Nothobranchius furzeri: one gene and its partner. The protein of the gene in region 2 purifies or fractionates together with the protein of the main gene of each other region. This does not show direct contact. Links are inferred from orthologs where the notes say so. Each region holds a gene or a part of one and is shown on either strand. Other genes may lie near its edges. The genes, in order: arpc3 and actin-related protein 2/3 complex subunit 1A.

Evidence for each region.
Region 1: the proteins of actin-related protein 2/3 complex subunit 1A (region 2) and arpc3 purify together in Homo sapiens (affinity purification with mass spectrometry; 8 studies listed by BioGRID and IntAct, counting the BioPlex papers as one, with this or other methods). This does not show direct contact. The link is inferred for Nothobranchius furzeri from reciprocal best matches to the Homo sapiens genes ARPC1A and ARPC3.

Annotation. Positions count from the first base shown.
Region 1 is NC_091746.1:47,862,311-47,866,620, reverse strand, and holds the start of arpc3 (actin-related protein 2/3 complex subunit 3), read right to left. Parts: upstream 3,085-4,310; 5' UTR 2,970-3,084; coding exon 2,964-2,969; intron 2,619-2,963; coding exon 2,519-2,618; intron 2,162-2,518; coding exon 2,085-2,161; intron 1,113-2,084; coding exon 1,044-1,112; intron 769-1,043; coding exon 642-768; intron 1-641. Other genes in the region: gpn3 (GPN-loop GTPase 3), read right to left, coding at 3,414-3,479, 3,574-3,702, 3,790-3,886, 4,015-4,130, 4,228-4,310. UniProt on the Homo sapiens protein: Component of the Arp2/3 complex, a multiprotein complex that mediates actin polymerization upon stimulation by nucleation-promoting factor (NPF).
Region 2 is NC_091744.1:15,328,227-15,332,522, forward strand, and holds the start of actin-related protein 2/3 complex subunit 1A, read left to right. Parts: upstream 1-1,339; 5' UTR 1,340-1,636; intron 1,637-2,315; exon of another isoform or gene 2,316-2,318; 5' UTR 2,319-2,353; coding exon 2,354-2,417; intron 2,418-2,661; coding exon 2,662-2,766; intron 2,767-3,865; coding exon 3,866-4,088; intron 4,089-4,171; coding exon 4,172-4,279; intron 4,280-4,296. Other genes in the region: lipopolysaccharide-induced tumor necrosis factor-alpha factor homolog, read right to left, coding at 107-224, 327-501, 717-791, 922-964. UniProt on the Homo sapiens protein: Probably functions as a component of the Arp2/3 complex which is involved in regulation of actin polymerization and together with an activating nucleation-promoting factor (NPF) mediates the formation of branched actin networks.

The DNA of each region.
Region 1 (4,310 bases), on a different chromosome or scaffold from region 2:
TGCTAAAAATAGCAGTTTTTACACAACACGTCTGACTTTTTACTGTGTTGTTATTGATGTCTGTTGTCCCTCGGGATTGCTGCAGGAGGACACGGGTATTTATGAGAGGCAAACGAAATAAAGTAAATAAATGTTTTGTGATCAGTATAATTTACATAATCACGGCAAACATGCTTTCTTGACAATCCTTTTTATTGTGTGAGAAAAAAAGTGTAGAAATTAAAACGGACGTGTGTTAATGGGGAAACAGCTGGCGAGCCATGTTTGCGCATGCGCCGTGAGCGGTTCTGGTGCTGTTTGGGTCGCAGCCGCTCACATTTGTTTACTGTGAAGTGAAGTTGAAGTGCTGAAGTTCTGAAAACTAATTTTGAATAAAACTTGAATAACTGGTAATTGCTTGCTCATTTTAAGAGGCCGCTCATATTTTATAACAGGCTATTTGATATAATGGTTTACAAACACAAAAGAGTAATTTATTAGAGTACTCAATCGATAAGATTCGATAGAGTACTCAATTATAAAAATATTCGATAGCTGCAGCCCTAATCCAACCTTTATGCTTTTTTCTTCCTTCTAAAACAAGCTCAGACAGACAGAAGTACAGCTTTATGTTTAGTTGATCGTTTAATGCCATCGCTCACCTTCCTCCTGCTTGTTTGAGGGCTTCACATACATGGCATTAAGAGGGAAGCCAGGCTCTCCAGGGATGGGGAAATTTGTGATGCCTAGAGTGTACATCTCCTTCTCTCCTTGATTCCTGGAGCTGCACTGCAAGGATTAAAGCAAAAAATGTTCAGTGAAACCCATTTTACATGCCCTAGATTAGAAATGATTATAAATTAATAAATCACACATGTGCTTCTTTCTAGAAGCACACTTTATGCACCAAAACCCAGCTATTGAGCTCTCTGGTTTCCAGGCCCGACTGAGACGCTTCTACTTTCAAACAAGCATTTTAAATGCTACCACTAAACATTTTCACCCATCGAATACAACAGCTGTTAACACTGTACACTTTAATGATACAGATGTTATAAACTCACCTTCTGTAGCTTCTTCAGACACTCAGAAATGTAGAGTGTGATGTAGATCAGGGTCCTGTCTGCCTCATTCTGAAAAAAATATAACGCACTTTTAAGTGATTTAGTTTAAAGCAGTCATGTTTCCCTACAGCATTAATGCTAATGTTACAAAAGGCTTAAATCCAGGGCAGCTATGATGAAGAAACCGTGTTGAGTGGAGTGGAAGAAGCGAGCCCCAACATGTGATGGAATACGAAGTGCATAGCTGCTCTGAGACGGAAGGTGGGAAAGACAGAACATGCACAAAGGCAAGTTTTTATTTAAACATCTTTTATCTGATGAACTCCAGGTGAATTTTACAAGCAATTATAATCTGAAAAATCTTAAAACAAGCTTATGAAATCTCTTTGTAAATATTTTATGTTCTAGATAAAAACACCATGCATAAAAAGTTTGTGATTTTTAATAGGGGTAAACTCATATTTACAATGTTTTAATACATAAATCTTTATAATCCAATATACTTCTTTAGTAGCACTGATTTGAGAACAGGCACATCCACGGGCAGCCTGGTGCAGCTGCCAAATTTTATATAAATTTATATTTATGTTTCTGAAAAGACACCTGTTCAAAAAATGCTCTCAATTTTAGGTTGACATAATTTTTTTTGTTAATGTCTTGCTATCTACCCACACCATCTTTAAGATCGACTGGTAGACCGCAATAAATGTACTGAACACCCCTGCTCTAAAACATTACTGTCACTCCACCAGTTTTACATTTTAAACGATCAGATTATTGGTTTGTTTGTTAGATTAACTTTTAATAAATCATTGTTTTAACAAAAACCAGTGCACAAAATTAATATTCAACTGTTGGGTATATTCAGAGTTCAAAAACTGGTTCAGGTTCAGAAAAGATTTGCAGTAACTGTTATTAGTGACATTTTAGCATGCTGATAAGGTGAAAAATATCTAGATATCAGCCAGAAAAACTGGCTGATCATGACTCCTACATATGAGCATCGGTAAGAACGCACACCGGCCGACCTTTAATTCTTACCTTGATTTCATAATTCTTAAAGAAGACGTTGGCTTTGAAGTAGTAGATCGCTTCTTCAATAATATCAGAATCTAGCCCTGCAAGTTTAAAAAGAAAAAAGAAAATTTTCAATACAGACCAATGCCCTGAGTGTAAAATGTCATGTTTAGTTCATTTGTGTCTTCATTGTTTGTACAAAAGAATTTTGGTGGTTGGTTGAAACAAATCATACATCTTGTTGCAAATAATACATGCATGGGTTCCAGAAATAACAACATAGGTTGATGATGCATTCTTCAGCCCATATAAGGAAGTGAAGCTGACTCGTTTGAGGAACTGAATGACAGCCAAAACTCTGCACAGAACTGGTCAAGTTCTTGACATTTTCATGCATCTGTTACCCGGAAACAGAACGCGTTAGTGGAGACAATTACAGAATTATGATGCTTACTTACCGTCTCCTCTGGCTGGTCCTTTAAATTGAGTTTTAACGGGGAGCAAGGCCATGTTCCCCACTAGCCTTGTATCGGGGATCATCAAGCTTGAATGATACGCCTAAATAAAATCCAGAAAAAAGCAGCTGTCAGATCTGTTCAGATTCTATACGGCGATAGCGCTAGCGACGACCGTACGTTTCACTCATTTACATTCAAGAAGCTAGGGATAATTTCATGATAAACTTAATATCCTCAAAAGGAACATTTAGTGGAATATTGACAATTTTAAGTAATTTTACGAGTAGGTTTCTACCGAATGCTAACGAGCCTAGCTAACTATGCCACAGATGTCCGTCTTCACAGCTAACGTAAAATAAAGACAGTTTCATGACACAATTCTGGCTTCATAAATCAATAAAAACAAATAGCTGTCGTCAACAGCTATCGCAAAGTATATACTCACCGGCATGTTGAATGAAAGATATCAATCCAACTGCTCAGCAAGACAAATATCCGTGCACCCCCAGACGCTGCTTCCGCCTTTCCCACCCTGTAGCTTTACCGGAAGTGAACACGTGTCGTGTGACATAGCGGCCACTGGGGGGTGCTGAAAACAATCTCGTCACAGAAAAGTGCACATTGTGTAATGTTTTATTTAAAAAATATAACATTAGTACATCTATTTAACAACACTTCAGGTTTTTATTTTTAATTTGTCAAATGAAAATAAATCTTGAGTTGTATAAATAATAAAAACAGAAAATAATATTTTAAACATAAAAGACTAGTCCAAAGTCAGTTTTATTTAGCTATTGTCCATTTCCTCTTTTGATATGAAGCTCTCCAGCTGAACTTCATCTAAAACCTGCATGCACATGCTGTTTTCCCAGCTGACACACGATCACAATACTCTTCAACAGACAACTTTGTTTTGAAACAGCTCATCGTAGTTTAAATTTGCTGGTTCTTCATCAACTTCCTGATGGAGAAGAAAACCATATTTTATTTAGTTTTAATAAATAATAAAGATTTGCATTATAATTAGATTTGTGTTAATATGGTTGTTTCTTCACCTTAGGCTCCTTGAATTCCAGGTCCTCTCCATACTGAATGGAAAAGTCGATGTGCTGCATGACTATGTTAATGCCTTCCTCATCTGTGCGGTCAAAAGGCAAGAATCTGACCATACTGTAGTCATCTATCTATATATAAAAATAAAATAAAAAACAGAAAAAATATGTCAGTTTACCATTAAAAAATGTTTCTAAATCTAATAAATGACATCATACCAAACCACAAATAGCTTTGGTAAGCTTCTTGAACTTTTGGCTTCTGAAAGTGTCAGAATTATCCTCCATCATAGAGTACATGTCGGGGTCCAGGTACCTTGTAAAAATACACAACTGCCTTAAAGATTTACCAATTATAAACAGTTTATGGAAAGCAAAACTGATGTTGCATGTTAACTTCTCTGGCACTACATACTTTTTTTGCTTTAACCATGCAAAACTTACTTTTCTATTTCTTTCTTTGCTTTGGGGCTGAGCAGATCCATCTTTGTCATGACGTTTACTTGAGGAATTTCTAATGACACCATGGCACTCAGGGCAGCCATGACCCCAGATATAAACTACAGTTGAAACACGTAAAAGATGAGCGCACCTTAGTTTAAAACAACTTGCGCTAAAGAAAATGACACAAACATAAAAGAACAGATATATGGTTACCTTAAATGACTCCACCATGAACTGTGAGTCGACTAAAAACACCCCACACACCCGAAACTCCCACTGCTGGAGCTGCTCCACCA
Region 2 (4,296 bases):
TACAAAATATGACTAAAAACTGGTGAAATATCTTACAATTGTGCATTACAGAACCTTTTTTGTCATTCATCTGAACAAATCTAGACTTTACCAAAGCAGAAAGCTTTCAGTGACAGCACTTCCTCTTCTCTATATGAAGAACTAGCAAGCAGTGAGGACATGTGTGGTGGGCATCTTTAAAGTGGTTTAGAAAAAATGGAATCAAGCAGCAGCCAAAAAACAACCTGTAAGAAAGCATTTGCAGACTTTTTACTGCCCATTCTGGGTTAATAGTTCCTGTAGGTGTATGAGATGACAATTAATACATTTGAGTACATCTTTCTCACCCACAAAAGACAAACAAGAGGCACACGAGCCAGGCGTAAGTCCCGACCTTAAAGGTGACCTCTGTGGTGACCTGTGTCTGACAGGAGGTGCACATCATTAGTGCTGGAGAGCCAAACAGCTTTGTTTTATAGCTCACAACCATTGGCCTGGGACCACGTGAAGGGATGTCCGAGACTTCAGAGATGACAAGAAGAGATTAAAATTAAAATCTGTGCTTCTGTTGTTGCCCATTAAGCAGAAGCTTTCTGCCCCCAAATAAGTAAAATAGTTTCCACCTACATTACTGAAATGGTGTAGTTTCAAAAGCAAACTTACATTTTGACACAAAGATCATTTAAAATGGCACAATATGGGTTCATGTTTAGACCTGGATGAAATTTAACGTGCACCTGGTAGAGGTGAGAAAACCGGAGGAGTTGGAGGGATGTAAGGCGGGTTTACATGGTAGATCCTCAGGTCTTGCTCTGGTAAAAGAGCATACATTTGTAAGTATCTTTAACTTTTAACAAAAAACTCTTTTCAGCTAAGAAAGCATGAGAATTAGGTTTTAAAATTACTATTAGTAGTAGTATTTTGTCTAGAGGGTTCTTTTACCTGATAGCAGGTGAAGTGGAGGTGGAGGAAGTGAATCATCCATGTTTAATGGCTCCACTTGTCAGCTTGATGAAGCACCACAGAGGAAGACAAGGTTCAAACTTGTATTGCTTTCATCTAGCAGCAGCTATCTGAAGACCTCCCAGGTGCTCTTAATTTAACTCTCCTCTGAATGGTTAAAAAGCCCATTACCCATGATTCAATGGAAGTAATGCCTTATAAAGAAATAATTTTTATTGTTATTTAAACAATAATCATTTATCATATTGATGCCTTTCCTATGGGGTGTAAATTTATTTTTGAAAAGTGCAATAACATTTATTAAATGAATTGGTCTTTTCCTGCTTTCACTCTGATGAATAATAGACTATAGAAGTAATACAACTCTTTAACCGCTAGAGGCGCTCTTACACACACTAGCTGTAGTTGTGAGACGCCGTCGTAAACGGCACCGTTCAGTTGAATGTAACATCTTAGCGTGATGATGCTAAGCTAGCTGTCAGCCAGGTATCCACGGGTTTAGCTGCCGAGCCGAGTTAGGTACCGGATGTTTCCGGTTCTATCTCACTGGCCGTCTTGACATTCCCTCTACATTCCTGGACGAATTCGTGTCGACTGACCAGAGTCCGCGAATTCAAGTCCATTCCTGATCTATAATCTCTTCCCGACAGTGTGGCTTAGCTTGCCGGCTAACTCGAAGAGCCAAACTGACGAGGTAAGTTAGCACCCGGGCTAGCGGGATGGAATTATGTAGAAAAGCGTCTCCTATGAGGAAACACCGAGGTCTGAAAACCGGGAACGCAGGCCTCCCGGTAAAGGTGTACATAGGAGTAAATCAGCATGTTTTTATCAAGCTGGCTTTCGAGCTTATATAACAATTTAAATATATATATATATATATATATATATATATATAGATTGTTGTACAACCTGGGATTTAAAATGATTAATATTTCGTTTGTGACGATTACAACCCGAGTGGGGCAGTCTACCCGGCTGTGGCTATGCTGCACTAGCTAGCTAACCGGGTTGACGTTTATTAGTAAAAGTGAACACCTCGCAATATACTGATTTAAAAATATAAGAATTGCTTGACGGTGCCTGGCTGATATTTCATTTACCACATTAATTTATACTCAGACCAGACCTCTTGGTTCTTTGACAGACTTAGGTTTAGCGGATGAATTCAAGCTATCTGCTATCAAGTATTAAACGAAATGAGGTGGCATAAAGTTACAGTTGTACAATTTGTCCCAGTTCGTAAGCATTTGGTGGTTTTCTGAGTGTGTGTGTTGTGTGTGAGAGAGATTCGATGCATTGCTAGTAGAGGCAAAGTTATGGTTAGGTCAGGAATGGCTATCGCTCGTTGCTAACTAAGTTTGTCTGTGACTCAGCAGCAGAGTTTACACTTAAGGACCACACCCAGACAAAGATGTCCCTTCACCAGTTTCTGTTGGAACCCATCACCTGCCACGCGTGGAACCGCGACAGGACACGTAAGGCTCAAGAATCACACCCACTTCAACACATGATTCAATTTCCGACAGTTGTCGCAAGAGACGTCAAATTACAAATAGAAATAATTTGTGAAAGAGTGGCCGCAGGTAAACAAAGGCAGTCTGGACGGACTTGTTTTTGGTGTTGAGCTGATAAAAGAATCCAGTCCAACTGGTTTGTCCTCTTCGTGGTCATCACAGCTCCTAAACTTGCTGGTTTGTTTTTCCCCCTTTTTGTCTCCAGAAATTGCTATCAGCCCTAACAACCATGAAGTTCATATCTACAAGAAGAGTGGGAACCAGTGGGTGAAGACCCATGAGCTGAAGGAGCACAACGGTCACATAACAGGTACGATTCAAGAGATCACCAAATTTAGCACGTGTGTTTTCGAAGGTGTGAAACACTGATTATTGTTTTTTTTTTTCTGTTTATAATCAGTCACTGTGAGTTTTTCCCTTCAGGCTAAGAATTAAAATAGTCTCCTACACCTATCTCCTGCATTAGCTTCTAAGAGAAAATAGTGAAACTTTAGGATTTGAAAAGCCTGACAGATCTACGTCACACTTTCACGTAACATTCTTAGACTCGCCCATCTTGACTCACGAAAGGGAAGGCTGTTGTTGGGTTAGCGTCCAGGAAACAGCAGAGAACATCATGACTAGAAGCTAACTGTTAGCATTAGCAGCACTGCCACAAACGAAAAACTCCTTCAGGCGAGTGTTATTTGTGGAGATAATGTATCCACGTTGCAAGTCAGCGGTAGGGTTTCATTGCTGTTATACAATTTGAGACAAGATGTCCAAAAATCAGAAATGAAGACTCAAAAACCTGCTGCCACTCTCTGCCGCAGCAGATTTGTCCAGGCTGATCCAAGCAATTCTAGGCTTTTTTTTTTTAGCTCTGAGTACAACTTGCAAGTCATTCGTTCCTGCCACTGCAAATGTATTGATTAAATCCAATATTGGATCATTTATTCAGCTTCTCAACTTCACATGTTTCTCCAGATTTTAGGTCTCAAACGTTTACTGTTGTTGAATAATTTACATTTTGCACCGATGTTAGAGAAACACTCTGCTGTTATAAGACAAATATCGTTAAAACCCTACAACAAAGCACACTTTTTTTTATGATATTGCCACCTGACTTGACCTGTTTTTTTGTTGTTGTCACACACATGGAAGCTTCCTTCAACTGTGCAGTGTTATTCGTTTAATCATTAGAAAATAAGGAGTGTGTAGTGAATGTCTGGATCAAGTCTCAATTTAACAAAATGCTAAACAAAAGCAACTGTGAGAGATGGCTAAATAGACAAGTGATTTTTGTCAAGTGAATGGGTCTAGTCTAGATGTAGACATCGTGCCTTGTTTGCTGTTCATGCTCTAATAGCATCACAGTCAAATGGCTTACAAAGTCTCACACTTGCCTCTGTTTTGTTTTTCTGTTGCAGGGATTGACTGGGCTCCCAAAAGTGACCGTATAGTGACATGCGGAGCGGACCGTAACGCCTACGTGTGGTCTCAGAAAGATGGGGTGTGGAAGCCCACGCTGGTCATCCTCAGGATCAACCGAGCAGCCACGTTCGTCAAGTGGTCTCCGCTGGAGAACAAGTTTGCAGTTGGCAGTGGAGCTCGACTCATCTCCGTGTGCTACTTTGAATCTGAAAACGATTGGTGAGGAAGGAATATCCTTAGATTTAGAATAACTGTTTTTGTTCTTCTGTGCTAGGTGCTAATGCTTTTTTAATTTGGGTCAGGTGGGTGAGCAAGCACATAAAAAAGCCTATCCGCTCCACCATCCTCAGTCTAGACTGGCATCCCAACAATATCCTTCTAGCTGCTGGCTCGTGTGACTTCAAATGCAGGTAAAATTCATCTACAA